Macaca fascicularis: one gene and its partners. The protein of the gene in region 2 interacts with the protein of the main gene of each other region in a pairwise test. Links are inferred from orthologs where the notes say so. Each region holds a gene or a part of one and is shown on either strand. Other genes may lie near its edges.

Region 1 (11,035 bases), on a different chromosome or scaffold from region 2:
AGGCAGGAGAATCACTTGAATCTGGGAGATGGAGATTGCAGTGAACTGAGATCGCGCCATTGCACTCCAGCCTGATTGACAGAGCAAGACTCCATCGCAAAAAAAACAAAAAACAAAAAAAAAAACACATACAAAAATAACAGTCTAGGCCAGGCACGGTGGCTCACGCCTGTAATTCCAGCAAGCTGGGAGGCCAAGGCAGGTGGATCACGAGGTCAGGAGTTTGAGACTAGCCTGGCCAACATGGCAAAACCCCGTCTCTACTAAAAATAAAAAATTTAGCCAGGCGTGGTGGTGAGTACTTGTAATCCCAGCTACTCAGGAGGTTGAGGCAGGAGAATCACTTGAACCCAGGAGATGGAGGTTGCAGTGAGCCAAGATTGTGCCATTGCACTCTGGCCTGGGCGACAAGAGCAAGACTCTGTCTTAAAAAGTAAATAAATAGGCCGGGCGCGTAGCTCACACCTGTAATCCCAACACTTTGGGAGGTCGAGGCAGGTGTATGACAAGGTCAGGAGTTGGAGACCAGCCTGGTCAATGTGGTAAAACCCCGTCTCTACTAAAAAAAAATACAAAAATTAGCCGAATGTGGTGGTGCACGCCCGTAGTCCCAGCTACTCGGGAGGCTGAGGCAGAAGAATCACTTGAACCTGGGAGGCAGAAGTTACAGTGAGCCAAGATCACGCCACTGCACTCTAGCTTGGGCGAGACAGCAAGACACCTTCTCAAAAAGAAGAAAAAAATATATATATATAAAATATATATATAATATATATAAAACTCCCCTCAAAAATATATATAATATATATTTTATATATACACACACATATATATATATATATATATTTTTTTTTTTTTTTTGAGCAGAGTTTTGTTCTTGTTGCCCAGGCTGGAGTGCAATGGCATGACCTCAGCTCACTGCAACCTCTGCCTCCCTGGTTCAAGCAATTCTTCTACTTCAGCCTCCTGAGTAGCTGGGATTACAGTCATGTGCCACCACGGCCAACTAATTTTTTGTATTTTTAGTAGAGATGGGGTTTCTCCATGTTGGTCAGGCTGGTCTCAAACTCCTGACCTCAGGTGATTCACCTGCCTCAGCCTCCCAACTTGCAGGGATTACAGGTGTGAGCCACAGTGCCTGGCCAAAAACCAGTCTTAACACTTTAGAATTCTGTCAGAGGCTTGTGAACCAGAGCAACTCCATCTTGAATAGGGGCTGGGTAAAATGAGGCTGAGACCTATTGGGCTGCATTCCCATACAGCTAAGGCATTCTAAGTCACAGAATGAGATAGGAGGTTGGCACAAGATATAGGACATAAAGACTTTGCTGATAAAACAGGTTGCAGTAAAGAAGGCAGCTGAAACCCACCAAAACCAACATGGCCATGAGAGTGACCTCTGGTCATCCTCACTGCCACACTCCCACTAGCACCATGACAGTTTACAAACGCCATGGCTACAACAGGAAGTTACCCTATATGGTCTAAAAAGGGGAGGCACGAATAATCCAGCCCTCGTTTAGCATATCATCAAGAAATAACCGTAAAAATGAGCAACCAGTAGCCCTTGAGGCTGCTCTGTCTATAGAGTAGACATTCTTTTATTCCTTTACTTTCCTAATAAAGTTACTTTCACTTTACTCTGTGGACTCACCCTGAATACTTCCTTGGGCAAGATCCAAGAACCCTCTCTTGGGGTCTGCATCAGGACCCCTTTCCTGTAACACCTTTCTGGCAACCACTGAAGGGACTATAACGCAGAAACCCGTAACCCAACGGCTAACTTTGGGTAAGCGTTGGGGTCTGGTAACAATCATATGTAACATCCGACCCCAGAAAATCATGAAAAGTGGTTAAAACACTAGAGCAGGCTGGGTGTAGTGGCTCACACCTGTAATCCCAGAATTTTGGGAGGCCGAGGTGGGCAGATCACTCGAGCCCAGTAGTTTGGACCAGCCTGGCTAACATGTTGAAACCTCATTTCTACTAAAAATACAAAAATTAACCATGTATGGTGGCGTGTGCCTGTAGTCCCAGCTACTTGGGAGGCTGAGGCAGGAGAATGGCTTGAGCCTGGGAGGTGGAGGTTGTAGTGAGCAAGAGCATGCCCCTGCACTCCAGCCTGGGCAACAGGAGTGAAACCCTGTCTCAGAAAAAAACAACACCATCAACACCACTAGAGCAATCGGATTTAAAACATACACTGCTTAGCCGGGAGCGGTGGTTCCTGCCTGTAATCCCAGCACTTTGGGAGGCCGAGTTGGGCAGATCACCCAAGGTCAGGAGTTCGAGACCAGCCTGACCAGCATGGAGAAACCCCGTCTCTACTAAAAATACAAAATTAGCTGGGTGTGGTGGTGCATGCGTGTAATCCCAGCTACTCTAGAGGCTGAGACAGGAGAATCGCTTGAACCAGGGAGGCAGAGGTTGCAGTGAGTCAAGATCACGCCATTGCACTCTAGCCTGGGCAACAAGAGCAAAACTCCACCTCAAAAAAACAAACAAACAAACAAACAAACAAAACACCCCATTTCCCAGTGTTTTGTTTTTTCCCCGCTATTATGATGAATCATTTCAGCTACCGACTTTTTGTTTTAGTTTGTCAGTTTGATTGGATTTTGCCCCATGGGGAAGGAAAGGAGAGCAGGATGAGGGGCACAGCCGGGGCCTGGAAACCTGGCACTCACCTGCAGCCTGGGGCAGGTAACGTGTGCAGCTGCCTCTGAGGTGGTGATTCCCCTCAGATGTGGGGGCAGGAGAGAATCGGACAATCAGAGGGAAGATTGGTCTAACTGCAGCAGATTGGGTAGATAAGATAAGTGAGGCCTTGAAATGATCACATGCAATGGAAAAGTTCTTTCAAAAAGAAAGAATTTTTTTTTTTTTTTTTTGAGTAGCATTCATGGTTCTGAGGTTTGGTTCCATGTGTCCTTTCCTTGTACTGCCTTCCAAGGTCCTGATTCACACACAGTCCCTATTGGTTCCAATGGCCCAGGACCCCAGTCCCTGCCACCAGCATGATGGATCTTGTGAGTAGTCCTAGTTCCTACTCAGACCTGATCCAAAGGAGAAGTGGGCAGAGACCCAGGTTCCAGCTCCAGCACCAGCTGCCTCTGAGCTATTTCTGCTTCCTACCAGGTGAAGCTCCTAGGAGGGAAGGGGTCCAGGACCTGGATGATGAAGCTCTGTGGAAAGCCAGCCACGGCCAGTCTGCAGCCCCTGGGGACTCTGTGAGAGTCTGGATGCAGACAAGCCAGGGGCTGTCACCTCAGGAAAGCTGAGGACCTCAATGTCCACTGGGAAGAGATGGGAGGGAGGCATGGTTCTAGGAGGGTACTGCTGGTCTGCCCTTCCATTCATCTGGGAATTCATTTCACCGTGGAAAGTGCAATCAGAGAAGTTCTTCTTCACATCCTCACAACAGTCTTAGTGGCCCCTTCTCTTTGGACTCTCCCAAGATGCAAAGAGTGTTTCTGGAGATTAGTAGGCTCAAGAAGGGAGGGGAGTTAGCAACAAATTTTTAATGATCTTCAAAGTTTGGAACACTTTGGGTAGCTCTTAGGGATGAACTTGTTCAGCTTCTGAGACAGATGTGTGACAAGTAAGACTGCAACTGATCTTCAGAAGAGCCCTGAGAACAGGAGATCACCAGCAGCCAGGAGCTGTGAAAGGTCACCTTTGGGGAGCAGGGGTCCTGCTAAGCCAGCATAACCTCTATTCTTAAGGTAGTGCCCAGAGAAGAGGTTCCCAAAACATGAAACAGACCAGCTCCATCAAAATCACCTGAAAGCTCCATCAAATTCACCTGCAAAGCATTGACATCCAAAGCCTGCCCCCTCTGCACCCTCCACCCACTGAATCAGAAGAGGGTCCCGGAGATCTGCATTTGACTCTAAAAGGCAACCTCCAGTGCTCCTTAACTTGCTTAGAAAACACTGTAAAACTGAAGACTTGTAAAACTCTAAGTGTCTCAGAAACCCAGGGTGAAGAATCACAAGTTCTCTACTACCCTGCCCCATTTTTAATCACACTCATCACAGACCACAGAGCACCTGGCAAACCCAGGGAACGGTGGGTTAAAGATATGTTTTCTTCTAGCAGATTAAGAGCTGAGCAGCGTTTCCTGTGCCCTGTGCTTCATTAGCACATTGGTGGTGTCGTTTCCGGTGACTGACTCTCTGTTTCCATTCTGGCAAAGTGGTTTGCTCTTTTCACTCTGCTTTGGGTGTTGAAGGAAGATGAGCTTCTCACGGAGCCTCTCCTGAGCCTCTTGGCAGTTTCCCCCTCTGTGCCCCTCACATTTCCACCAGAAGGCAGAGGCCATAGATTCTCCCTGAGCCACCTCACTTGGAAGCACCACGTCCGGATGAGATTGCACCTCCTGCAGCGGGCATTAGCCACGTCCAGGTAGAACCAAACCTGTTGCTTTTGTATGTTGGGTCAACTTGGCCTGACATTTCAGAGGTAGACACAAGATAGGCAGTTTGTTGTGGGGGTGGGGAGAAGTGGCAGACATGCTGGCTAACTGATTATGATTAAGAGAAACTTAGAAGCTGAAACCAGAGAGCATCTCAAAGGTTCCTGATACAATGGATGGTGTCACTCCAACCCTTTCGACAATCAGAGGAAGGACCTTGGAGTCCAGCACTCTGCATGTGACTCCCCGCAGCCTGGACAGGTGAGTGACTCAGGGTGGTGAGCTCCACCCTGCCCTGATTTAGGCAGAAGGTCCTAGTCCACACTTAGGAGCTTCTTACACAGCAGTGCTGTCTCCTCTCAATACCCAGGCTCGGGTCTACTAAGACCACCAAACTCTAGGCTTGGAGGCATTTGCTCAGGGGTGCTAGGGGGAAAGGAAGGTATTGAGGAAAGAAAGAAGATATTTGGTAGAGGAAAAACTGTGGTAACACTGGTCCTTAAAGCTAGTTGCTTAGACTGGTTGGATTTCTCACCTCTCAGAGGCCCTGAACCCTATTGTCAGTCTTTCCCAGGTGTCACCATGACAGAAATGAAAGGCTGAGTTTTCCAAGGATGTGTGTTGAGATCCAAAAACTTGTCATGAATAAAATGTAGTGATAAATATAATAAAGATATGTCTTTTTTTTTTTTTTTTTTTTTTTGAGACGGAGTCTGGCTCTGTCACCCAGGCTGGAGTGCAGTGGCGCGATCTCGGCTCACTGCAAGCTCCGCCTCCCGGGTTTACGCCATTCTCCTGTCTCAGCCTCCCGAGTAGCTGGGACTACAGGCGCCCGCCACCTCGCCCGGCTAGTTTTTTGTATTTTTTAGTAGAGACGGGGTTTCACCGTGTTAGCCAGATGGTCTCGATCTCCTGACCTCGTGATCTGCCCGTCTCGGCCTCCCAAAGTGCTGGGATTACAGGCTTGAGCCACCGCGCCCGGCCATAAAGATATGTCTTTAGGATGTAAAATCTTAGAGGACTAATCGTGGGTATAAATTACTGCTACTACTTTCAATCTCATACAAACAAAATTAAAAATCCACCCACAGTTGAAACTTTAAAAACATTGGTAGCTGACCAGGTACGGTGGCTCACTCCTGTAACCCCAGCGCTTTGGGAGGCCGGGGGCGGCTGGGGCAGATCACCTGAGGTCAGGAGTTCAAGACCAGCCTGGCCAACATGGTGAAACCTCGTCCCTACTAAAAATACAAAAATTAGCCAGGGGTGCTAGCGCGCTCCTATAGTCCCAGCTACTCGGGAGGCTGATGCAGGAGAATTGCTTGAACCCGGGAAAGAGGTAGCAGTGAGCCGACATCATGCCATTGCACTCCAGCCTGGGCAACAAAAGCGAAACTCTGTCTCAAAAAATAAAATAAAATTGCAGTTGTCTGGGAAAATAAATGTTATTACCATGGCAAACACATGTCACTTGCAGGTAGACATGAGTATCGATGAGCAATGAATTCACAAAAATCAGAAGCCTGAAGCATCCCTCCAAAACTATTTCTTCATTTATTTTTATTTATTTCTTTTTTTTTTTTTTTTTTTTTGAGACGGAGTCTCGCTCTGTCGCCCAGACTGGAGTGCAGTGGCGCGATCTCGGCTCACTGCAAGCTCCGCCTCCCGGGTTCACGCCATTCTCCTGCCTCAGCCTCCCGAGTAGCTGGGACTACAGGCGCCCGCCACCATGCCCGGCTAATTTCTTTTTGTATTTTTAGTAGAGACGGGGTTTCACCGTGTTAGCCAGGATGGTCTCGATCTCCTGACCTCGTGATCCACCCGCCTCGGCCTCCCAAAGTGCTGGGATTACAGGCTTGAGCCACCGCGCCCGGCCTATTTTTATTTATTTCTAATTGGCAAATCAAAATTGTATATATTTATCATGATAGCCTGTTGTTTTGAAATATGTACACATTGTACAATAGCTACATTAAACTAATTAAGATACACATTACTTCACAATTTTCTTTTGTGGTGAGAATACTTAAAATTTCTCAGCAATTTTCAAGAATATGACACATTTTTATTAACTATAGTCATCAACACTTTTTTTGTTTTGTTTTGTTTTTTTATTTATTTTTTTTTTTAGACGGAGTCTCGCTCTGTCGCCCAGGCTGGAGTGCAGTGGTGTGATCTCTGCTCACTGCAACCTCTGCCTCCCAGGTTCAAGCTATTCTCCTGCCTCAGACTCCCCAGTAGCTGGGATTACAGGCATGCACCACCACCCCCGGCTAACTTTTTTGTATTTTTGGTAGAGACAGGGTTTCTCCATGTTGGTCAGGCTGGTCTCGAACTCCCTACCTCAGGTAATCCACCCATCTTGGCCTCCCAAAGTGCTGGGATTACAGGCATGAGCCACCGCGTCTGGTCCATCAATACATTTTTATTGACTATAGGCATCATGTTATACAACAGATCCCTTTAATTTATTCTTTCTCTCTAACTGATATTTTGTATCCTTTGACCAACCTCTCTGCAACCCCTCCCTGATAACCACCATTCTACTCTCCACCTTTTTTTTTGAGACAAAGTTTCACTCTTGTTGCCCAGGCTAGAGTGCAATGGCACAGTCTTGGCTCACTGCAACCTCCACCTCCCAGGTTCAAGCGATTCTCCTGCCTCAGCCTCCCCAGTAGCTGGGCTTACAGGCATGAGTCACCACACCTGGCTAATTTTGTATTTTCAGTAGAGTCGGGGTTTCTCCATGTTGGTCAGGCTGGTCTCGAACTCCGACCTCAGGTGATCTGCCTGCCTTGGCCTCCCAAAGTGCTGGGATTACAGGTGTGAGCCACTGTGCCCGGCCTCTACTCTCCACTTCTATGAGTTTAGCTTTCCACTCCACATGAGTGAGATCACCTGGTTTTGTCTTTTTGTTCCCTGGTTTATTTCATTTAACATAATGACCTCTAGGTTCACTCATGTGGTCGAAAATGACAGGATTCCCTTCTTTCTTTTTTTTTTTTTTTTTTTGAGACGGAGTCTTGCTCTGTCGCCCAGCTGGAGTGCAGTGGCCGGATCTCAGCTCACTGCAAGCTCCACCTCCCGGGTTCACGCCATTCTCCTGCCTCAGCCTCCCGAGTAGCTGGGACTACAGGCTCCCGCCACCTCGCCCAGCTAGTTTTTTTTGTATTTTTTAGTAGAGACGGGGTTTCACCGTGTTAGCCAGGATGGTCTCGATCTCCTGACCTCGTGATCCACCCGTCTCGGCCTCCCAAAGTGCTGGGATTACAGGCTTGAGCCACCGCGCCTGGCCTAGGATTCCCTTCTTTCTTAAAGGCTGACTAGTATTCCATTGAGTATATATACCACATTTTTTCATCCATTCATCCATTGATGGACACTTAGGTTAATTCCATATTTTGACTATTGTGAATAATGCTGCAATGAACATGGGAGTGTAGACATGTCTTTCAAATATGATTTCATTTCCTTCAGATATATACCCAGTGGTGAGATTATTGGATTATATGGCTCGTATGGTAGTTCTTTTCTTTTTTTGAGAGAAAGTCTCACTCTGTCGCCCAGGCTGGAGTGCAATGGCACAATCTCGGCTCACTGCACCTCCGCCTCCCGGGTTCAAGAGATTCTCCTGTCTCAGCGTCCTGAGTAGCTGGGAAAACATGCGTGTGCTGCCACGCCCAGCTAATTTTTTTCTGTATTTTCAGTAGAGACAGGGTTTTACCATGTCGGCCAGGCTGGTCTCAAACTCCTGACCTCAGGTGATCTGCCTGCCTCGGCCTCCCAAAGTGCTGGGATTACAGATGTGAGCCACCACGCCCTGCCTTGGTAGTTCTATTTTTAATTTTTGAAGAACCTCCATAGTGTTTTCCATAACGGCTGTACTACACTTAAAACTATTTCTATGTTAGTTCATTTATTTATTAATTCAGTCATTCATTCATTTAACAAATATTCATCAGGGCCCTACAAAGTACCAAGCACTATTTAAGGCACTAGGTGAACAGGATAAACAAGTCCATAACTACTGGAAGCTTATAGTCAAAGGGGAGAGTCAAATAAAGAACAGAGCTGAATGTGGTGGCTCATGCCTATAATCCAAGCACTTTGGTAGGCCAAGGCAGGAGGATCAGTTGAGCCCAGGAGTTCAAAACCCAGCCTGGGCAACATATGGAGACCCTGTCTCAATGTTGTTGTTGTTGTTGTTGTTTGGTTTTTTTGTTTTTTTTAAATAAAAAAAAATGATAAACAGATAAGCATATGAATGTATAGTATCAATCAATCAGGCTGGGCGTGGTGGCTCATGCCTGTAATCTCAGCACTTTGGGAGGCCGAGGCAGGCAGATCACCTGAGGTCAGGAGTTCGAGACCAGCCTGACCAATATGATGAAACCCCATCTCTACTAAAAATACAAAAAGTAGCCAGGCGTGGTGGTGCACACCTGTAGTCCCAGCTGCTCGGGAGGCTGAGGCAGAAGAATTGCTTGAACCTGGGAGGGGAAGGTTGCGGTGAGCCGAGATTGTGCCACTGCACTCCAGTCTGGGAAACAAAAGCGAAATTCCATCTCAAAAAAAAGATACATCAATCAGTCATCAGTGATATGAAGAAAAAATGGAGCACAGCAAGGGGACTGCAAGTAATAGGGTGTGGCCATAGAAGACCTGTCTGAGGAGATGACATTTGACATTTCAGAAGAGACCTGAATGAGAGGGACTCAGTCATGCAGACAGCTGGGAGAGGAAGGTTCCTGGGAGAGGGAGTGGCAGGTCTGACACAGAACTGTGCTTTGCGTGGGCAAGGGATCCTGGTAGTCAAAGTCAGAGGGAACGTGGTAGGAAATAAGGTCAGAGGTAGGCAGAGGCCAGATCATATTGTGCCATAAAGTCGTCACTGAGGAAGGACTATAGACTTTATTCTAAGTTACTCGAAGCCACGGAGAGTGACGAGCAGTGGAGGGATGTGATCTGACTTACTGTTTAGAATTATCACACTGGTTTTTGCGTGAAGATAGTATGTTGGGGCCAAGAGTTAAAGCAAGGAAACCAATCAGGAACGTTATTACAAAGATTCCTGTGAAACACAGTGGCTTAGACCCAAGTGGTGGCAACAGAGGAGCAAGAGGTGGTTGGGTTTGGGGTAAATGCCCAGGGTAATGCAGACAGAATCTATTGGTTGACTGGAAGTGGGGCATGAAAGAAAAAGAGCTCCAAGTCAAGAATGGCTCCAAGGTTTTTGACTAAGTCACTAGATGATGGGAAACACGTGGGGAGTAGCAGGTTTATGTGGGGAGATGTTTTGGTTTGAGATGTCTGTTAGGCAGCTAGTTAGAAATGCCCACTAGAAACTTGGATAGGCTGGGTGCGGTGGCTCACGCCTGTACCCAGCACTTTGGGAGCCTGAGGCGGGCAGATCATTTGATGTCAGGAGTTCAAGACCAGCCTGGCTAACATGGTGAAATCCTATCTCTACTAAAAATACAAAAAAAAAAAAAAAAAAAAAAATTAGCCTGGCATGGTGGCGGGTGTCTATAGTCCTGGCTACTCAGGAGACGGAGGCAGGAGAATCGCTTGAACCTGGGAGGCAGAGGTTGCAGTGAGCCGAGATCATGCCACTGCACTCCAGCCTGAGCAACAGAGCGAGACTCTGTCTGAAAGAAAGAAAGAAAGAAAGAAAGAAAGAAAGAAAGAAAGAAAGAAAGAAAGAAAGAAAGAAAGAAAGAAAGTTGTATAAATAACCCTAAAACTCAAGGGGAGAAAAACCTTCCCTGTTAAATGCCCTGGTTTCTAATAATTGGGGGTAGCACGTCAGTTCCTGAGTCCTGCTGTAACTTCAGTTGGCAGCTTTCTATTGCATTAGGCATAGCCATCTGGAGTTGTAATCATCTGGACGCATTTCAACACCCAAGCAAAACTGAGCAGTGACGCCAGCCCTGCCAGGGAATTGCAAGGTAGCACAGAACGTGAATTGGTTAAACTCCACACAACAGCGTGTTGCTTGGAGACCAGCTCCACAAATTGGTGCCGGGGGTTATTCAAGTTCATGCAAGATGGACTCTGTCACAGAGCCACTCCCTAATTGTAAATTGGCTAATCCTCTCCTCCAAGCAAGCCAGGAAGGCCACGAGTAGGGAATGAGAAAGGGCAAGGCCAAATGACTGACTTTGCAGGTTTGGAGGACAGTGTGGCAGAGTGGAAAGAGCACAGTCTTTGGACGCAAACAGACCTAGATTCACATTTCTTCTCTGCTCCTTCCTACCTAGGTGATCTCTGACTTGTTACTTTACCTTTCTGAATCTAAAGCTCAGGTTACTTGGACACAAAGTGAGATAGGATTGTTGTAAAGATTAAATAAGTTTCACGGGCCGGGCGTGGTGGCTCATGCCTGTAATCCCAGCACTTTGGGAGGCCAAGGCAGGCGGATCACAAGGTCAAGCGACAGGGACCATCCTGGCCAATGTGGTGAAACCCCATCTCTACTAAAAAGACAAAAATTAGCTGGGCGTCGTGGCACGTGCCTGTAATCCCAGCTACTCTGGAGGCTGAGGCAGGAAAATCACTTGAACCCAGGAGGCGGAGGTTGCAGTGAGCTGAGATCGTGCCACTGCACTCCAGCCTGAG
Region 2 (10,868 bases):
AGGAGCTGCCCCTCAGCCCCACCTTCCTCCTGCCTTCAGCCCAGCCTTCGACAACCTCTATTACTGGGACCAGGACCCATCAGAGCGGGGGGCTCCACCTAGCACCTTCAAAGGGACACCTACGGCAGAGAACCCAGAGTACCTGGGTCTGGACGTGCCAGTGTGAACCAGAAGGCCAAGTCCGCAGAAGCCCCGATGTGTCCTCAGGGAGCAGGGAAGGCCTGACTTCCACTGGCATCAAGAGGCGGGCGGGCCCTCCGACCACTTCCAGAGGAATCTGCCATGCCCAGAACCTGTCCTAAGGAAACTTCCTGCTTGAGTTCCCAGATGGCTGGAAGGGGTCCAGCCTAGTTGGAAGAGGAACAGCACTGGGGAGTCTTGGTGGATTCTGGGGCCCTGCCCAATGAGACTCTAGGGTCCAGTGGATGCCACAGCCCAGCCTGGCCCTTTCCTTCCAGATCCTGCATACTGAAAGCCTTAGGGAAGCTGGCCTGAGAGGGGAAGTGGCCCTAAGGGAGTGTCTAAGAACAAGAGCGACCCATTCAGAGATTGTCCCTGAGACCTAGTACTACCCCCCATGAGGAAGGAGCAGCAATGGTGTCAGTATCCAGGCCTTGTACAGAGTGCTTTTCTGTTTAGTTTTTACTTTGTTTTGTTTTTTAAAGATGAAATAAAGACCCAGGGGGAGAATGGGTGTTGTATGGGGAGGCAGATCTGGGGGGTCCTTCTCCACACCCACTTTCTCCATTTGCAAATATATTTTGGAGAACAGTTAGGCACCGGCCTATGTCTGGGGGTAGCTCTGCACCATCCCTTCCTGCTCACCTTACACTCAACTCCTCTTTTCCTGGAGGGAGTGACCAGGAATCTTCAGAAAGCTTGGATGAGGAGCCTGACATCCAGTTCTCTAGCTTCAGGGTTGGGGGGGATCGGGAAGCTGGATTCGGATCCGAGAGCCCTTTAACAACCAGATCATTCTTTCTTAGAACGAATTCCTAAGGCCACTCACCAGAATGGGGTTATTTCCTCCTTGTGAGTCAGGAGAGTGGCGGTTGAGTGGGCGAAAGACGAGGCAGGGTCTACTGTGGGACTCATTTTCCTTGCCTTGGCTATGCCAGAGGAGCTCACTGACCTAAGGAGTAGCTGTCCAGAAAGCCCACCCAAGCCAGCACAGCCACCCTGGCGGTACAAAGGCTGGGCCGGCCGGACTTCTGTGCCCCCCACATTCCCAGATTGGACATATAAAAACACACACTAGTTAGCATTAGTGTTTGTAGTGCCACTTTACTGCCAATGGCTGACATTGCCCTGGGTTGGGGAAAATAAATAAAATCTACTGTGGCATCAGACAGGTATTACCGAGGTGAAGAGTGGACCAGGCTTTTGTGGGCACTTATCCTGGGAAGGGGGTATAAGGTGGCTGGGGAAGTGTCCGTGGAGAGTGTCTCTCTCCTGCCCCCAAGGCCATGGAATCTTATTCCTTCCTCGTACCCAAAAGGGCAAAGTGGAGGCCAGGGTCTCTTTGCTAAGGAGCTAAGTAAGGGAAAGAGGCAGGGGGAGCTCCCAGCAGGACCAAAGGGAGACCAAGGCTTGGACCCCAGAACAGAGCAGGAACCCAGAATCCTGTGCAGTCACAGGATGACGCAGGGAGGACGGCTGTTGGTGATCTTTTCTAGGGGTTCTCCTTTACTGGCTCTTCGGATGGCCTCAATGAGCTAGAGGACAGAGATGTGGAATGACAGGATGATGCACTGTTGGGGTAGGATGACCCAGAGGTCCTCCCAACACTGCAAATACTCACATCTTTCTCATAGGGAAAGCCCCCATTCTCCAGCTTGGAGAACACCAGCTGTCCATTTATCTCTATCTCAAAGGCACCTGGTAAGAAATCAACAGATAAATAAATGGTACACTGAGAACATAGGCAGAAATCAGGAGTTCCTTCAAAGGGGTCCCCCACCACTCCCACTGGAGACCCATTTGTAGCTCCTTAAGCCATTCCCCAACCCTGGGTCAACTCCAGGGAACCTGAGGGAGGCCCCGCCTGTGTGCCCCTGGCAACAATGAAAGACTCCCTCCCCTCCAACCCTACACGATTGCAGTCTAATAGGTTTTTTCCCCCGCAGGCCTCTGTGAACCCCCTGACATATGGAAGGGAACTCATGTTGGCTGGACATTTTACCATGTGCCAGGCACTGCAGGCACTTTACATAAAGCAGCCAATGTCAGAACTAGAAAGCGGGAGAGCTGGGATTTAGAGTACAGACTGACTCAGCAGGTGTTCCATGAGCCTCACCTGTGCCCCCCAAGCGCGACTCGATCTCGATGCCCGGATACTGCTCCTTCACAGCACTGGCCAGCTCCAGGTAGGTCGCCTCGAAGCCGCAGGGTTCACTGGGGAGAAGAAATGGGGCTGGGCTGGGGACTCGGGGGTGGGGCCTCCCGTGGACCCACCTCCGTCCGGCCCACGGGACCAGGGTAGGGGTCCTCCAGCCGGGACCGCTCACCAGTACTCCACCATGATGCGGACCCCACTCCCCGGCTCCACCTCCTCGGGAGGGGACGCTACGGACGTCTGCCCCGGCTCCCCGCTCATAGCTGCCTGCTCCGCTCGGGCCCCTGCTTCCGGGTGTGACGCGCTCAGCGGGCACGTGACGGGGCGGGGCCTCTGGAGCGTGGCGGGGCCGAGCGTGGCGTTGGGGCGGGGCCGAGCGTGGCGTCCGGGCGCCCCCTGTAGGCCTCCGCCATTGCTACGTTTTGACCTCGTACGGCAGCTCCGGAGCTCGCGCCCCGGGCAGAGTCTGGGAGAACCGGTACAGACCCTCCTTCCCCGGCCCGGTCTCCCGGAATGCCGGGCTTCCCCCACTCCCGATGTCCGCCGGACTTCACGGCTTCATTTACTCTAATGGACTATCTTAGACTGCAGAGCGCTTTTCAGTTTACAAAAGAAAGAGAAAGCGGTGGGGCAACCATCCTGGAGATGGGAGTGGGTGTGGCTGATGTATGAAATAGTTGACATTTTCTCGCTCACATGCTGATGGCATTTGTTGTTTTTTTTCACTCTTGTTGCCCAGGCTGGAGTGCAATGGCGCGATCTCGGCTCACTGCAACCTCCGCCTCCGGAGTTCAAACGATTCTTCTGCCTCAGCCTCCCAAGTAGTTGGGACTACAGGCGCGTGCCACCGCACCCGGCTAATTTTGTGTTCTTAGTAGAGACAGGGTTTCACCATGTTAGTCAGGCTGGTCTCGAACTCTTGACCTCAGGTGATCCACCCTCCTCGGCCTGCTTAAAGTGCTGGAATTACAGACATGAGTCACCGCGCCCGGCCCAGTTTTTTGTTCGTTTGTTTGTTTTAGGAGAGACAGGGTTTCACCATGTTGGCCAGGCTGGTCTCGAACTCCTGACCTCAAATGATCTGCCCGCCTTGGCCTCCCAAAGTGCTGGGATTACAGGCGTGAGGCACCACGCCCGGCGCTGATGCCATTTGGAACCGCCCTATAGTTACATACCCAAGTGTTTCTGATCCCAAAGCTCTAAACTGCTTTTTCCAGTCTTTTGTAACTGCCTCTTGCCTGCACTGGAGAACCGTAGACACTCTTCAGGCTGTGTGCCCCCAACAGTTCCTGCACATCCCCTTCTTATCCAGCCTCTCACTGGGGGACTGGTGTCATTATTCCCATTTTGCAACTCTGGAAATGGAGGCTGCTCAGGTCCTCGCTGCCTTTTCCCTGCCTGCAGTACCGCTATGGTATCCTAGCACGCCACTCACTCTAGTGTCTCTTTAGGCTATTTTTCTTTTTCTTTTTCTTTTTTTTTTTTTTTTTTGAGACGGAGTCCTGCTCTGTCACCCAAACTTGAGTGCAATGGTGCCATCTCGGCTCACTGCAACCTCCGCCTCCTGGGTTCAAGCGATTCTCCTGCCTCAGCCTCCCTAGTAGCTGAGATTACAGGTGCTAGCCACCACACCCAGCTAAGTTTTGTATTTTTTTTTTTTTTTTTTGAATCGGAGTCTTTCTCTGTTGCCCAGGTTGGAGTGCAATGGCGCGATCTCAGCTCACTGCAACCTCTACCTCCCGGCCTAAGTGAGTCTCCTGTCTCAGCCTCCTGAGCAGCTGGGATTACAGGCGCCAGCCACCCCGCTGGCTAATTTTTCTATTTTTAGTGGAGATGGGGTTTCACCATGTTGACCAGGCTGGTCTCAAACTCCTGACCTTGTGATCTGTCCACCTCGGCCTCTGAAAGTGCTGGGATTACCGCTGCACCTGGGCTTTTATATATATATATATAAACAGTCAGGGCATGGTGGCTCACACCTGTAATCCCAGCATTTTGGGAGGTCAAGGTGGGCGGATCACTTGAGGCCAGGAGTTCAAGACCAGCCTGGCCAACTCAGCAAAACCCTGTCTCTACTAAAAATACAAAAATTAGCTGGGTGTGGTGGCGCACACCTGTAATCCCAGCTACTCCAGAGGTTGAGGCAGGAGAATCGCTTGAACCTGGGAGGTGGAGGTTTCAGTGAGCTGAGATACCACTGCACTCCAGCCTGGACGACTGGACGACAGAGTGAGACTGTGTTAAAAAAAAAAAAAAAAGAAAAGAAAGAAAATGCTGTCATTTGTACAGTTGCCTAACCATCACCACAATCCAGTTACAGAATGTTTCCGTCAACCTGGTAAGTCCTTCCCACCTGTTTCTGGTCAATTCAGCTCCCAATTCCAGTCCTATGCAACCACTGATCTGCTTTCTGTCTCTAACTTTGCCTTTTCTGGATGTTTCATATAAACAGAATAATATGCTATGTGGTCTTTTGCTTACGGCTTCTTTCACTCAGTATGTTTTTTGAGATGCATTCATGCTGTAGCGTCTAGAGTAGTTTGTTCCTTTTCATTGCTGAGTCGTATTCCACGTGTGGTTTTGCCACATTTTGTTTCTTAATTCACCAGTTGATGGATATTTAAGGTTCCAGTGTTTTTTGTCTATTTTGAAGAATGCTGCCACAGATGTTTTGGTGTCTTTGCATAGGTGTGTGTTTTCATTTCTCTTGGGTAGATTCCTAAGAGTAGAACTGCTGGGTCATGTGTTAAGTTTATGATTAACTTTTTTTTTGAAACAGAGTCTCGCTCTGTTGCCCAGGCTGGAATACAGCAGTGCAAACACTGCTCACTGCAGCCTCAACCTGCTGAACTCAAGCTATTCTCTTGCCTCAGCCTCCTGAATAGCTGGGACGACAGACACGCACCAGCATGCCCAGCTAATTTTTTTGTATTTTTTGTAGAGACAAGGTTTTGCCATTTTGCCCAGGCTAGCGTTTAACTTTTTAAGAAACGGCTAGACTGTTTTTCAAAGTTTTCCCACCAGCAATATATGAGGATTCGTCGCTCCATATCCTCACCAATACTTGTTTTCTGTCTCTTTGATTATAACCATCCTAGTGGACATGACATGATATATAATTGTGGTTTTAATTTTCATTTATCTAATGACTGTTGTGTATCTTTCATGTAGTTATTAGTCATTCATATACATATTTGAAGAAATATCTATTCAAGTCTTTTGCCCATTTTTATTAGGATTGTTTGTCTCTTTATTATTGATTTGTAAAAATTCTTTATATATTTTGGATATCAACCAAAATATATACAACCATATATACAACCATATATAGTTGTATATGATTTGCAACTATTTTCTCCCAGTCTTTGGCTAATTTTTTTTCTTTTTTCTTTTTTTTTTTTCTTTCTTTCTTTTTTTGAGACAGGGTCTCACTGTGTCACCCAGGCTGGAGTGCAGTGGCACAATCTCGGCTCACTGCAACCTCCACTTCCCAGGTTCAAGCAATTCTTGTGCCTCAGCCTCCCAAGTAGCTGGGATTACAGGCATGTGCCACCATGGCCCAGATAATTTTCTGTATTTTTAGTAGCAATGGTCAGGCTGTTTTTGCTATATTGGCCAGGCTGGTCTGGATCTCTGGCCTCAAGTGATCTGCCTGCCTCTGCCTCCCAAAGTGCTGGGATCACAGGCATGAGCCACTTCACCTGGCTTCATTTTTTCTTTCTTTTTTTGAGACAGTGTCTTGCTCTGTGACCCAGACTGGAGCGCAGTAGCACAATCACAGCTCACTGCAGCCTCAACTTCTTAGGCTCAAGCGATTGTCACACCTCAGCCCCACCAAGTAGCCAGGACTATAGGCCCGCACCACCATGCCTGGATAAATTTTATATTTTTTGTAGAGATGAGGTCTTGCCAGGTTGTCTCGGCTGGTCTCAAACTCCTGGGCTCAAGCAATTAACCTGCCTCGGCCTCCCAGAGTGCTGGGATTACAGGTATGAGCCACCATGCCTGGCCTCTTCTTCTTTTTTTTTTTTTTTGAGATGGAATTTTGCTCTTCTTGCCCAGGCTGGAGTGCAATGGCACCATCTTGGCTCACCACAGCCTCTGCCTCCTTGGTTTAAGCGATTCCCCTGCCTCAGACTCCTCAGTAGCTGGGATTACAGGTATGCGCCACCATGCCTGGCTAATTTTTTTTTTTTTTTTTAGTAGAGATGGGGTTTCTCCATGTTGGCCAGGCTGGTCTTGAACTCCCGCTTCAGGTGATCCATCCACCTCGGCCTCCCAAAGTGCTGGGATTACAGATGTGAGCCACCGCGCCCGGCCTCCACGAAGACTATCTCCCATGGTTTCTTCTAGAAGTTTTATGGTTTTAGCTCTCACATTCAGGTATATGATCTATATCGAGTTTTTTTTTTTTTTAATGCATTCTGTGAGCAAAAGATCTAAATTCACCTTTTGGCATGTGGCTATTCAATTGATCACAGTACCATTTATTGAAAAGCCTATCCTTTCCTCCATCAAATTGTCTTGGCACCCTGTAAAATCAATTGAGAAATGTAAAAGGGTTTCTACTTGGACTCTGGATTCTGTTCCATTGACCTATAAACTCATTCTTATTTATTAGTATTACTATTTTTCCCCCGAGATGGAGTCTTGCTCTGTCGCCCCAGCTGGAGTGCAGTGGCACCATCTTGGCTCCTTGCAACCTCTGCCTCCCGGGTTCAAGCAATTCTCCTGCTTCAGCCTCCCGAGTAGCTGGAATTACAGGTGCACACCACCACGCCCAGCTAATTTTTATATTTTTAGCAGAGACGGGGTTTCACCATGTTGGCCAGGCTAGTCTCAAACTCCTGACCTCGTGATCCACCTGCCTCGGCCTCTCAAAGTGTTGGGATTACAGGCGTGAGCCACCATGCCCGGCCTTGTTGTTGTTGTTTTAAAATTCAGATACAACTTATACACAGTGAAATTCATCCTCTTGAGTGTACCTTTCTTTTTTTCTCTCTTTTTTTTGAGATAGTCTCACTCTTGTTGCCCAGCCTGGAGCGCAATGGCTCACACTCAGCACACTGCAACCTCTGTCTCCTGAGTTCAAGAGATTCTCCTGCCTCAGCCTCCTGAGTAGCTGGGATTTTAGGTGCATGCCACCACGCCTGGCTAATTTTTGTATTTTTAGTAGAGAAAGGGTTTTGCCATGTCGGGCAGGCTGGTCTTGAACTCCTGACCTCATGATCCGCCCACTTCATCCTCCCAAAGTCTTGGGATTACAGGTGTGAGCCACCGCGCCCGGCCTTGAGTGTACCTTTCTATGAGTCCTAAGAAACACACACAGCTGTGCATCCAACCCCACAACCAAGATACAGAATGGTCCCATCACCTCCCACAAGTCCCTGTGCCCCCTACTGTGGACCCCTCTCCCTCCTCCCCAACCCCAGACCTGCTTTTTGTTCACACAGTTCCACCCCCTCCAGAAAGCCATATAAGTTGATTCCTACAGCACTCAGCCCTCTGACCGTGGCTTCGTTTCCATCCCATCCTTCACCATCCAGGATGATCTTTCTAAAATGTAAATGTGCCCTCTCCTCTGTGCTTCTACTTAAGTCTAAATACAACTTGAAGGGTCTGGTCTTTGACCGCTACTCCTGCCCATCTGGACAAACAGGATGGATGGCTCTCAAACCTGGCTTGCGGAACAGCCACCTGAGGGCTTGTCAATACCACACCTTCCTGTGTCTTAGCCCCACAGACTGAGATTCAATTGCTGGAGAGGATCCCAAGGATCTGTTTTCCACACAAGGTTAGGGAGGTCTGGAGGCCACATTTGCAGAAGCATAGCCGCCTCTCTCCACACCTTCCACACCTGTCCAGGTTCACCCACGTGGCCTCTGCTTCCTCCTTTCTCCTCCAACCCCACTCTCTGTCTCCGCATGCTGCATCCCCTCCTCTCCAGAGCTCTGGCAGTGGTTTCCTCACTTGGGAAGGTGGCCTCCTTCCCCAGTTCCCATCCACTGATTCCAACCCCCTTCCCATGTCAGCCACCTTCTCCTCTGCTCAGCTGTCACCTCCACAGAGAAGTCTTTCCTGACTCCCTATGTGAGTCATTCTCCCAGCATAGTTGTCTCCTGTCATTTCTTATTTGTGTGATTCTTTGATTAACATCAATCTTCCTGATTGGCTGTGTGAGGATAGGGTGGGGTCTGTTTTTGTTGCTTACCCCAGTATCCCCAGCACCAAACATGGGGCTGGCATATGGTAGGTACTGAACAGAGAGTTGAATAAATTAATGAGTGAATTGTCTACTCTGCCTTTGCACAAGCTGCTCCATCACCCAAGAGACCTTGCCTCCTCCCCCACTTCTTTGCTGGGCACGTTCATACCGGTTTTCCTAGGAAAACTCTGGAGAAAATTGAGGCAGGAGTCACTCCTCTGTGCCCCCCCATGGTGGACCTCTTATCACCCTAAGGATTGTTTGTTTTCCTGTCACCCGCATCAAGCTGGGTGGTGGCCACAGCCTTTGATTTCTGCCTCCCAACCCTTCTCCCAAGTACCCTGTTTGCCCAGTGCTGAACTAGAGAGCTAAAGTGATCCCTGAGAGAACTAAATCGATCCCTCAGGCCGGGTGCGGTGGCACACACCTGTAATCCTAACACTTTGGGAGGCCGAGGTGGGCAGATTACACGAGGTCAGGAGTTCGAGACCAACGTGGCCAACGTGGAGAAACCCCGATTTACTAAAAATACAAAAATTAGCTGGGTGTGTGGCCTGTAATCCCAGCTACTCGGGAGGCCGAGGCAGGAGAATCTTTTGAACCCAGGAGGCGGAGTTTGCAGTAAGCCGAGATGGCGCCACTGCACTCCAGCTTGGGTGACAGAGCAGGACTCTGTCTCAAAAAAATAAAGTGATCCCTCTAAGAGGAATCTCCAGGGGCCCAGGCCAGAGCTTTCTCTGGGTCACCATGGCTTCTCCCACTGTGCCACCCAGCCTAAGCCCCTCGATTTTAAAGGGGAAGCCAAGACTCTAGACTTTGCTCAGAAGGTGGGGGGCGGGAGAGGGGCTTACCCTGGGTGCCTCTGAGGGGCCAGGGCACAGCCACCATGGTATGGGTGCCTGCAGATCGACGGGCAGGCCATGTTGCTGGACACCCCCGTGGCTGGCGTCCCTCCTTGGCAGGGTGCTCTTTGCTCCATGGGGTGGGATCCAGAGCTGCAGAAGTGCCCCCTGGCTTGGCCAATGAACAGACCAGGTTCAGGGAGGATGTTTGGGAGGAGTGGACCGGTGGTTCCCTTTACCTTGCAGCCCTCAGACCCTCCCCCCGCCCTCCCAGGTGGTCGGGACTCTTGATCTTCGCTGTTGGTGCTGTCTGTTCGGCTGTCTTCCCCGCCTCTTCCTAGGCACCTGCACCCTCTCTTGGCACCTGCTGCCAGGCTAGGAAGGGCAAAAACAATCCCAGTTGGCGTAGAGTGTCAGGGAGTCCCCACCCTCCTCCCAGGCTTCCTCCTCCCAGGCGCCTCCCCTGGACACGCCCCCATCTGCCCAAGATAATTTTAGTTTCCTTGGGCTTGGAATCTGGACACACAGGGCTCCCCCGGCCCTGACTTCTCTGTCCGAAGTCGGGACACCCTCCTACCACCTGTAGAGAAGCGGGAGTGGATCTGAAATAAAATCCAGGAATCTGGGGTTTCCTAGACGGAGCCAGACTTCGGAACGGGTGTCCTGCTACTCCTGCTGGGGCTCCTCCAGGTAAGGGGACAGAGATCGGTCTCAGACAACAGTCTGCCAGGCAACCCCCAGCCGCACCAGGGCCCCAGGCTGTGCCCGTCTCCGGCCGAACTGGCCGTCGGCCCAGGTGGGCGGATTGGAGCCACCTGGCTCTCCCCCTCCCCCGCTCGGTGATGTCAGGCCCGGGGCGGGGGCTGGAGGGGGACAGGTACTTAAGGGCCTGGCGTCTCCCTCCCTGAAGACGTGGTCCCAGCCGGGTGTCCTGATGTTCGGGGTTCAGGTAAGAACCCAAGCGGGCATTCATCCTTTGGGGGCAGGCACGGCCGGTCTGGGGGCCGGTAGGGAAAGGCTGGGTCTCCTGCTGGGTTGCTCGGCCTCCCACTTTTCTCTTTTCCTCCCATCTCCCACCCCGCCCCCTCCTCCCCACCCGCCCTCTTTCGTCCCCATCCTGGTTTCCAGCCCTCCTTGTTCCCTCCCGGTACACCTCCCCGAAGCCAGCAGCGAGAATGGGAAGGAAGACCTGATTCTCTCCTCCGACTTGGCTTTCCCGCTGAAACTGGCCCCTCCCCGCACACCCTGGGAGAGCCGCCCTCACTCCCTGGCTCGCCCAGTTTACCCCAGTTTGGGTTTCCCCAAGTCTCTAAGACAGACGTCTCCGCGGGCTGCGGGGAGATGTGGGGAGGGCCCCCTCCACTTTGGAGGACGGTGAAGGAGAGGGATCCTCTAAATTGTTGAGGCTCCATCTCTCCAGACTGTATGCCCTGCTCAGCAACATCGCCTCCGGCCCTCGGGTGGGAAAGTGGAGGCCGGGTGAGCC
Region 3 (10,400 bases), on a different chromosome or scaffold from region 2:
ATTAATATTTTCTTTTAAGGCTTCTGTAAATTCTTCAGTATGTGTTTTCTTAAGCTTAATTACCTGCTAACATGACACTGTCAGAATTTATACATTAGTCACAATAACCTTTGAAGCTTAAACATGGGTGAATTTTCAGCACTGCTTTATATTCTCTGGGGAATGGTCAGTGTTGTTTTCACAAGAATTTTATTTGCATCAAAGGTTACATGTTTTCAGGTGAACTGATTTTACAGGGTCAGAGGCTTCTTTGAACTTTATAGCTGTTGGTGCTTGGTTGCGTTTGCTGTCTTTCAAAACCATCTTTAGTTTTAGTAGGGAAAGTCACTGTAAAGGAAAACTTTTTTCATTTTTCATTGTTACCATTCCTGGTAGATTTTCTGAAATAGTAGATATTTATTTGCTTTCATCAAGTAAAACCGGCCTATTTGATACCCATTTCAAGATCTTCCTTCTGCTGCCTGTCTTGTGGTCATTTAACTTCTCATTAAGCCCTCCACTGGAGACTGTGCCAGAAGGGAGAGAAGATGAAAAGCAAATGAATCATTTTGTAATTGTTAGTAGCTCTGGAAAATGATTTAGTAGAAGAGATTGAAACTATTCTGGAAATTCTTTGGGATTGTATTTCATTCATCTGCATCATTTCAGAGATGTTCCTAATGGTCATCAGTTCAGAATTCAGAAATTGATCATTATCCAGCTATTGTATAACAAGGAATTCTTCGTGCTTTTTTGTTTGTTTGTTTCTTGCTGTATTTAAGTATCTCCACAGAAGATATTTAGAAGCAGCTAGAGATAAAATTTAAACTAATCAATACTGTTTTTTCCCTTTGAACTCTTTAATGAACAATTTGATTTCTTTAGACAGTTTAGTCATTGTTATTGGAAGTGACTAATAGTGACTTTGCTTCATTTTTTTTTTTTTTTTTTTTGAGACGGAGTCTCGCTCTGTCGCCCAGGCTGGAGTGCAGTGGCCAGATCTCAGCTCACTGCAAGCTCCGCCTCCCGGGTTCCCGCCATTCTCCTGCCTCAGCCTCCCGAGTAGCTGGGACCACAGGCGCCGCCACCTCGCCCGGCTAATTTTTTGTGTTTTTAGTAGAGACGGGGTTTCGCCGTGTTAGCCAGGATGGTCTCGATCTCCTGACCTTGTGATCCGCCCGTCTCGGCCTCCCAAAGTGCTGGGATTACAGGCTTGAGCCACCGCGCCCGGCCAACTTTGCTTCAATTTATTTTGATGCATCTTATACACAAGTATAGGAAGCCTTTTGGGTGCTTTTTAAGAAACATGGGCTGTAGATTCCTATAATTGCTTTCCTGAATTATTAAGCGTGAGCTTTCATTACATCTTTGTACCGGAACTTTTGCTTTTGCTGTGGAACAGATTCAGGGACAGCATCTAATTTTTTTTTTTTTTTTTTTTTTTTAGATAACTGCTCAAGAAGTTATCTTGTTTTGATTTAGCAGTAAAAAAGAAAAAAGGGTTAATAGTGGACAGGCTTTTCGTTAACGGCTGCAACATTGATGTCTGCTTTTTTCCTTGTCTTTGATCTTCTGTTTCTTATTTAATCATTTGGATATTCATGGATTGGAGTTCTTTATGTCACTACAGACAGAGGACAGCAGCCATTATTCACACTAGTTGAATGGGTTCCTGCCTTTTTTTGGTGGCGGGGGAGGGCCTCAGGAAAATTTTTACAAACCCGTTATGACTAGTTAGGCTGAGTTACTGTAAAATTTGTAAATAAAACCCTACTGGGTGGATAGGGTTAATAGATGGCTATAGAGAGTTTAAAGTTAATCTTTTTCAATTTCTTGTCTCTTGGATTCTGTTCTTTCAATTTCTACCCTAGGAGGGGATTTATGGAAAAATCTAGACTAAGAGTCAGAACATGCGAGTTCTTATCTAGTTACTTCCCAGCTGTGGTGCCTCCAGCTAGTCACTTAATCTGCCTTGTTTCTCTGTTTTGCATCTTTAAGATGAGGATAGTAATCCATGCTCAGCCTACTGGTATCAGGAATGTTGTAGGGGGAAGAAGTTTTTCATGCCCCTGTCTTTTAAATTGTTTCTTCTTTCTAGAATCCCTTCTTAGGTTGTCCAAATTTTCTTTCAAGGATTCAACTGAGCGGGCTCTTCCCAGAGGTCCTCCATTTTCCCATTTGGAATCTTGCTTTTCCCCTCTTGCAGGCCTCTGCTGGTCCATCTGTTACATAGCGCTTTGAATTCTGTTCTGTACTTCAGTCATTGCATGTTGCCTTCCATTATAGATGGAAAGCTCCATGAGGGCAAAGATTGTTCTTTTCCTCTTTCTGTGTATCCACATTGCACATAGGCATCCCCTCCACTCCATAGATAACCCACAATAATTGTTGGTTGAATGAATGATTATTGAGGCTGTCAGGAATGAATACTTTGGGTGATGGGAAAATGCCAAAGATGAGCATCTTACCAGCACTTTTGGATGAGTGGCCTTTTAAATTGCTCAGTTGCTAATCTGTTGTTATCAGTAACTGAATCAGATCCTGGCAAGACAAATTGGCAAAGCCCATTTCTTGGTCCTGTTTACCTCGGATACTATTTGTGAAGCAAGCCAGAGGAATGAAAGACTGTCGTAACAGTCTTGAATTAGACATTTGTTCCATTTCTCACCCCATAGCATGTGGAGGCCTATCTCTATCCAGCTGCTGAGTGTAAAGAATAAACACTGACTGCCCCATAGCCTGGTCCACATTTTAGTTTGTGTGCTTTGAAGGATTTGCAAGGTAGAGAAATAGATGCTTCAGGCTCTGATTTCAGCCCATGCTGTGCTATGCAAATGTTCTCTACATGCCTGAGTGACCTTTTGAGAAAGAGCCTTTGTGATCTTCTATAGCCAGGGCTTGTTCTGGGAATTCTGTGCCAGATTCCTCTAAAAGTGGGAAAAGTGGATCTGTTAAAGGACCACGTAAAAAAGCTGGTGCTTTTCCTGGATGAATACCAATAATTCCATGTTTCTTACCATCTCTTGCCAGAGCTTTAGAAATTTGCTCTGCAGTTTGCTTTGCAGGTTGATTTGGGATTGAAGTGTGTGAGAGGGAACTGACTAAGGCAGTTCAGTAGCTGGGAAACTGTTTGTTTAAGTGCTTTTGAATTGTAGATAAAAATAAATTCACATTGGCATCATTAGTATCTGAGCATTTCTCAGTGTCTTAAGGCTGGCTCTCCATGAGTGCTGGCTGATTGAGTCTCATCTGTATTGGTAAGGTTCTTTTCGCCCCAAATTGTGCTCTTAACAGTTTGGCATTTAAATCGCTTTCTATTTAATTGTTGTACAAAGAGAATTACATCATTATTAAAAAACATCATCATTATTATTTTTTATATTATGAGATAAATACCATTCTGATGTATTTCTCTGGGAAAGGGATGCTGGTGTCCTGGGAGGTTTATGATTTTTGATGCTTTTACTCAGGTGACTGGCTTGTACAGCCGAAACACTGATGAAAAGAAGTTTTCCCCTTCTCCCTTTTCCTTTTTTCTTTTTTTTTTTTTTTGAGATGGAGTCTCGCACTGTTGCAGGGGCTGGTGTGCAGTGGCACAATCTCAGTTCACTGCAACCTCCGCCTCCCAGGTTCAAGTGATGCTCCTGCCTCAGTCTCCTGAGTAGCTAGGATTACAGGCGCCCGCCACCACGCCCGGCTAACTTTTTGAATTTTTAGTAGAGATGGGATTTTGCTATGTTGGGCAGGCTGGTCTTGAACTCCTGACCTGGTGATCCGCCTGCCTCGGCCTCTCAAAGTGCTGGGATTACAGGCATGAGCCACTGCGCCCCGCCTCTCCCTTTTTCTTAAATGACCTTTTTGGTGAGGACCATTATAGGTTTGTACCAGGATAAGGTTGTAGAGTTAATCATAATGTTCTCTTATATAAATTCTAAAAATTGATTTTCTAAGAAGAGAGGTAGAATTTGAATGACTGGGTTGCTTCCTAGACTCTTTCTCCTTCTCTTAAGTACCGGATAGTTCTTTCTCTGAAAATCTTCAGTCTCTTAGTTCCAGATGGGTTCTCTATGGTAAGAATACAGGACATGAAGGCCCTAGGGGAATGCTTTCTTCCCCAGATCTTTGCCCTGCAGTAGGTTTCAGCTGAGCAAGGATGAGTAGTTTTTCTGGTGTTTGGCCTCCTCTGTTGGGTGGAAAAAAACCTTTCTTCTTTATGTTCATAGTTAATATATGCTATCATATGTCTGTTTTTCTCCTCTTGAAGTTTCCCTGAAACCTGGGCTCTTGAAGACGCATCACTGGAGCAGATGGATAATGGAGACTGGGGCTATATGGTGAGTGCTTCTTGGAGATGCATTTTGAAGGCTGGGGAATTATTTTTGTGTGTACATAAGGATAACATGTATTTTTAGGTATATCTTATAAGAAAAGAAAATTGTGAATTTGTGTAACCTCTCTGCCCCCTTTTACTTAGTTTAGATGTAGTTTGGAGGTTGTTTTTGTCTTGTGTGGTGTTTTTAAAAGTTTTATTTTATTTTTAAATTTTTTTTATGTGGAGTCTTGCCCTCTTGCCCAGGCTGGAGTGCAGTGGTGTGATCTTGGCTCACTGCAACCTCCACCTCCCAGGTTCAAGAGATTCTCCTGCCTCAGCCTCCCGAGTAGCTGGGATTATCAGTGTGCACCACCACATCTGGCTAATTTTTGTATTTTTAGTAGACATGGGGTTTTACCATGTTGGCCAGGTTGGTCTCGAACTCCTGACTTCAAACGATCCTCCTGTCTTTGGTGTTTTAATGGAAGCAAACTCAAAATGGATTCTCCAAATACTTTTTATAATCACTGGAGAAGTAACGTGATTTTTTATTTTTTAAAGTATATTGCTCTGAAGACTCTTCGTGAATAGTGACTACAAAAGGATCTAGTGAGTAATGATATGGAGGATATTTTATTGTGGTTTGGGAGATTAATGGTTGAGAAAGTGCATCTTCTCCTACTCCTTTTTTTGTGTGTGCTTATGTCTCCCTATTTTTCTATTCCTTTGGTGTAAGGTATATTTTACTTGCCTAGTACCCGAAGTCTCTTTCTTTTTTTCTTTTTTTTTCTTTCTTTCTTTTCTTTTTTTCTTTCTTCCTTTCTTTTTTTTTTTTTTTTTTATTGTTTTGAGACAGGGTCTTGCTCTTTTGCGTAGGCCGGAGTGCAGTGGCGCGATCTCGGCTCATGACTTTCCGAGCTCAGGTGATTGTCCCACCTCAGCCTCCCAAGTAGCTGAGACTACAGGTGGGCACCACCATGTGTGGCTAATATTTTGTATTTTTTGTAGAGACAGGGTTTTGTCATGTTGCCCAGGCTGGTCAGCAACTCCTGGGCTCAAGTAATCCACCCTCCTTGGCATCCTAAAGTGCTGGAATTACAGGTGTGAGCCACCACGCCTGGCCTGTTTTTTTCTTAAGTAGTGTTTCTAAAACTGAAGGTATGTTTTTTAAGAGAAGCTTGCTTCTCAAAATTAAAGGCCAGATTGCAACATTAATGTTACAAAAGTGAATACACTATCAGATTATGAAATTTTATGGCTGCTGTTAGCTTTTGGGTATGTGATGATTTTTTGACTAAACTGTATATTTTAACTTAGTATTTGAAAGTATCACTTCCATGAAAAAGTTACCAAGATTAAGTCTGCACAGTTTTTAATTAAATTAATTAATTATTTTTGAGACAGAATCTCTCTGTGTTGCCCAGGCTGAAGTGAAGTGGCGTGATCTTGGCTCACTTGCAGCCTCCGCCTCCCGGATTCAAGTGATTCTCATACCTCAGCCTCCCAAGTAGCTAGGACCACTCAGGCACTACCATGCTCAGCTAATTTTTTTTTTTTTTTGTATTTTTAATAGAGATGGGGTTTTGCCATGTTGCCCAGGCTGGTCTTTTTTTTTTTTTTTTTTTTTTTTTTTTTTTTCTGAGACGGAGTCTCACGCTGTTGCCCAGGCTGGAGTGCAGTGGCGCGATCTCGGCTCACTGCAAGCTCCGCCTCCTGGGTTCACGCCATTCTCCTGCCTCAGCCTCCTGAGTAGCTAGGACTACAGGCGCCCGCCACCGCGCCCGGCTAATTTTTTGTATTTTTAGTAGAGACGGGGTTTCACTGTGGTCTCGATCTCCTGACCTTGTGATCCGCCCGCCTCGGCCTCCCAAAGTGCTGGGATTACAGGCTTGAGCCACCGCGCCCGGCCCAGGCTGGTCTTGAACTCCTGAGCTCAGGCAGTCCGCCTGCCCCGGCCTCCCAAAGTGCTAGGATTACAGCCATGAGCCACTGCACCTAGCCCAAATTTTTATTTTAAAAACAAATTTCATTGTTTATTCCTTTTGTTTGAAGGGGAAAAACCCAAAGAAATGCTGAAAGTAAATGTCTATATTATCAGATCATTTTAATTCTATCTTATGTTAAATTAAGTTCAGAAAAATGCAAGCCTTTAAAAAAAATCAGAAAAAAATAAGTGTATTTTAGCGTGGCTTTTCCCTTCTCACAATATATTCTGACCTGAACATTCTGTAGATAATGGGCCTGAAATGATGTGGCTCTGGAAGTCAGTGCCCTGGATTCTTAGCGTAAGTCTTTACATAATTGGATTTATCCTTGTTTTTTTTTCTATTGAAAGCAAATGTTAGATCGCTTCATCTGGGTGGGTTTATTGCTGGTAGTAAAGTCATTTTGCATTAGAGGATTACTAAATACATTATAGCCTGAAAGAATCTTGGGCTTTGCTCAGTATCACTTACTTTCTTAATTTGTCAAAGTTGGTATTTAAAAATTTCAGGTGACTGATTGTTTCTTTAAAAATTTCAGATGACTGACCCAGTCACGTTAAATGTAGGTGGACACTTGTATACAACGTCTCTCACCACACTGACGCGTTACCCGGATTCCATGCTTGGAGCTATGTTTGGGGGGGACTTCCCCACAGCTCGAGACCCTCAAGGCAATTACTTTATTGATCGAGATGGACCTCTTTTCCGATATGTCCTCAACTTCTTAAGAACTTCAGAATTGACCTTACCGTTGGATTTTAAGGAATTTGATCTGCTTCGGAAAGAAGCAGATTTTTACCAGATTGAGCCCTTGATTCAGTGTCTCAATGATCCTAAGCCTTTGTATCCCATGGATACTTTTGAAGAAGTTGTGGAGCTGTCTAGTACTCGGAAGCTTTCTAAGTACTCCAACCCAGTGGCTGTCATCATAACCCAACTAACCATCACCACCAAGGTCCATTCCTTACTAGAAGGCATCTCAAATTATTTTACCAAGTGGAATAAACACATGATGGACACCAGAGACTGCCAGGTTTCCTTTACTTTTGGACCCTGTGATTATCACCAGGAAGTTTCTCTTAGGGTCCACCTGATGGAATACATTACAAAACAAGGTTTCACGATCCGCAACACCCGGGTGCATCACATGAGTGAGCGGGCCAATGAAAACACAGTGGAGCACAACTGGACCTTCTGTAGGCTAGCCCGGAAGACAGACGACTGATCTCCGAGCCTGCCACAGGTTCCTGGAAACACGGAAAATAGTGATTTTTTTTTTTTTTTAAATCACAGTGTGAGATTTTTTTTTCTTTTAAATGTTTGTATTTATTTGAAGGCAGTGAGGACCAGAAGGAAGTTTTGTGCTTTGGCACACTCCTCCGTGTTTTGTTCCCTTCCTCCTGAGTATGCATGTGCCTGTTCAGAGTCTCCAGATACCTTTTTTATAAAAAGAAGTCTGAAAATCATTATGGTATATAATCTACCCTTAACAGAGCTTTTCTTATTACAGTGCTAGAATGATTTCTGATAAAATGGTCCCTAACTCAACTAGAAGGCTAAAAATACAAGAATGAAAGAATAAGCAGAGTACTCATGATGCCTTTGAGAAAAATCAAAACATCATGTAGGGTGACCTAGTTTCCAAACCAATAAATAAGTAGTATTGTAATATTAAAGGAAAACTGTTCCAATCATTTAAAAGTACTTATTAAGTACTGCTTTTTACAGTTATGACAACTGTTTCTTTCTATGCATATAAATCAAGGAACCAAATATCTGTAGCCATGGAAATGTCTGACTAGAAATATTTATATTGAATTCTGAATACAAAATGTCCCCGTGGTAGAAATCTTACTCTTTATGCCTGGTGCAGTATAATTCTCAAGTGTACTGTCTACCAGAAAAAAAAAAAAAAAAACTAATAAAAAGTGAAATATGAAAATTAAGTTTGTACTTATTGATTATTATTAAGGGGAGAAAAATCATATTCCTTGTCTAAAATATGCATTGTTTATGTCCCATTGTTTACTGCCTATAGCATATTTGTATTTAATTTGAGAGGACACAGTGGGATCTTAGGTTGCAGTTTATAAGAACTGTTGTGTCATTGAAGCAAGGATGGATGGAATTATTAATTTTGACTAAAAGGGTGCATATTTGAACAGTGAACATACAGTTTTTCATATTTTTCAAAAGAATTTATGTTGAAGATTACAGATTTTTCTTTAATTGCCCACGGTTCTATGACCATTACTTCAGTTTTCTGCTAAGCACAGGAACAAAATGACTGTAGCCCTTTATGCTCATGTTTTATGGTGATCCACAAATGTATTTTGTTAACAAAGTTAAGTTTGTTTATTTCTTTTTTTTTTTTTTTTTTTTTTTTTGAGACGGAGTCTCGCTCTGCCGCCCAGGCTGGAGTGCAGTGGCCGGATCTCAGCTCACTGCAGGCTCCGCCTCCCGGGTTCACGCAATTCTCCTGCCTCAGCCTCCCCAGTAGCTGGGACTACAGGCGCCCGCCACCTCGCCCGGCTAGTTTTTTGTATTTTTTTTTTTTTTTTTTTTTGAGACAGAGCCTCGCTTAGTCGCCCAGGCTGGAGTGCAGTGGCGCGATCTCGGCTCACTGCAAGCTCCGCCTCCCGGGTTCACGCCATTCTCCTGCCTCAGCCTCCCGAGTAGCTGGGACTACAGGCGCCCGCCGCCTCGCCCGGCTAATTTTTTGCATTTTTAGTAGAGACGGGGTTTCACAGTGTTAGCCAGGATGGTCTCGATCTCCTGACCTTGTGATCTGCCCGCCTCGGCCTCCTAAAGTGCTGGGATTACAGGCTTGAGCCACCGCGCCCGGCCAGTTAAGTTTATTTCTGAAGAGAAGAAACAAACTGCAGTGAATGAAGGACCTAGAACAGTTGGAGAAATACACGTACTTTTATTTATTTCCCTGTAGTCTTATTTTGCGTAGTTCATTTGCTTCTATTTCTTGAAAGTAACTCATAGGAAGGATTATTTTAATTATACTGAGACTTCCTACTTTGTTAGACCACCGTATAAAAGGAAGTCATGTAATTTATTCCCTATTTTCTAAGGGAAGAGTGGAACTCTGAGGCTGTGTGCCCTGGGGCAAGCAGGCCCCTCCTTTTCTCTTTCTCTCTGTGAGAATATTCTAAGGTTCTCTCTCTGCAAAGAAGATGACAGCACTTCCTTATGTCTATTTTTGCCCATGTCTCTGAAAATTTATTTTAAAATTTGACAAATGACCAACATCCAGAAACCTATAATTACCCTATTTTCACCGTCTTCAAACTAAGATCCTTTGATGTTATTGACAGGTTGCTGTGGTTTCAGTAAATCGATATACGAGTACAAATTTATCATTTTGGAAAATTATCTTATATTTAAAATTGATTTGATAGTTACCTTAAAAAAAAAAAAAGGCCCAACCAGTTAGTAACGTGTTGTTGTGCTAGCTGAGGTCAATATGAAATAAAATGATTTGGGTTGAAAACAGGTGTGGAAATAGGAATAATGCTAGTTCCCAGTTTTTATTTTTATTTTATTTTTAAATGATTTTTATTTATTTATTTTTGAGACAGAGTCTCACTCTTGTCACCCAGGCTGGAGTGCAATGGCGTGATCTTGGCTCACGGCAACCTCTGCCTCCCAGGTTCAAGCGGTTCTCCTGCCTCAGCCTCCTGAGTAGCTGGGATTACAGGTGTGTGCCATTGTACCCGGCTAATTTTTGTATTTTTAGTAGAGTTGGGGGTTTCACCATGTTGACCAGGCTGGTTTTGAACTCCTGACCTCAGGTGATTCACCTGCCCTGGCCTCCCGAAATGCTGGGATTACAGGTGTGAACCACTGCGCCCGGCCCAAGTTTTTTAAAGTTAAAAACTTATGAGGCCTCTTCTTTGTCCTGTTTACTGGAGATAAGTTTGCTTTTGGCAAATTTTCTCAAATTTACTAATTATTAACAATGAAATGATTGTTTATATGAGTAAATTAGGAAAAGTAGCCAGCTGAATTTTTTTTTTGTTGCCATTTTACTTGTGACATTTAGAGTGTTTTGTCTAATTGGGTAATTGAAAGTGATATGAAAAATGTAGCTTCATTATATTTGGGTAACTTGA

Evidence for each region.
Region 1: the proteins of GRB7 (region 2) and LAX1 interact in binary tests that used the Homo sapiens proteins (3 or more experiments, as listed by UniProt). The two-hybrid records come from large-scale screens. The link is inferred for Macaca fascicularis from reciprocal best matches to the Homo sapiens genes GRB7 and LAX1.
Region 3: the proteins of GRB7 (region 2) and KCTD6 interact in binary tests that used the Homo sapiens proteins (3 or more experiments, as listed by UniProt). The two-hybrid records come from large-scale screens. The link is inferred for Macaca fascicularis from reciprocal best matches to the Homo sapiens genes GRB7 and KCTD6.

Annotation. Positions count from the first base shown.
Region 1 is NC_088375.1:61,586,408-61,597,442, forward strand, and holds the start of LAX1 (lymphocyte transmembrane adapter 1), read left to right. Parts: upstream 1-4,213; 5' UTR 4,214-4,366; coding exon of another isoform or gene 4,367-4,407; exon of another isoform or gene 4,408-4,540; 5' UTR 4,541-4,589; coding exon 4,590-4,678; intron 4,679-11,035. UniProt on the Homo sapiens protein: Negatively regulates TCR (T-cell antigen receptor)-mediated signaling in T-cells and BCR (B-cell antigen receptor)-mediated signaling in B-cells.
Region 2 is NC_088390.1:60,790,991-60,801,858, forward strand, and holds the start of GRB7 (growth factor receptor-bound protein 7), read left to right. Parts: upstream 1-4,653; 5' UTR 4,654-4,673; intron 4,674-6,538; 5' UTR 6,539-6,718; exon of another isoform or gene 6,719-6,867; intron 6,868-9,391; exon of another isoform or gene 9,392-9,757; intron 9,758-9,878; exon of another isoform or gene 9,879-10,331; intron 10,332-10,510; exon of another isoform or gene 10,511-10,861; intron 10,862-10,868. Other genes in the region: ERBB2 (receptor tyrosine-protein kinase erbB-2), read left to right, coding at 1-166; MIEN1 (migration and invasion enhancer 1), read right to left, coding at 1,632-1,715, 1,802-1,878, 2,297-2,394, 2,508-2,596. UniProt on the Homo sapiens protein: Adapter protein that interacts with the cytoplasmic domain of numerous receptor kinases and modulates down-stream signaling. Promotes activation of down-stream protein kinases, including STAT3, AKT1, MAPK1 and/or MAPK3. Promotes activation of HRAS.
Region 3 is NC_088376.1:121,607,064-121,617,463, forward strand, and holds the end of KCTD6 (BTB/POZ domain-containing protein KCTD6), read left to right. Parts: intron 1-4,243; 5' UTR 4,244-4,286; coding exon 4,287-4,313; intron 4,314-6,814; coding exon 6,815-7,501; 3' UTR 7,502-8,218; downstream 8,219-10,400. UniProt on the Homo sapiens protein: Probable substrate-specific adapter of a BCR (BTB-CUL3-RBX1) E3 ubiquitin-protein ligase complex mediating the ubiquitination and subsequent proteasomal degradation of target proteins.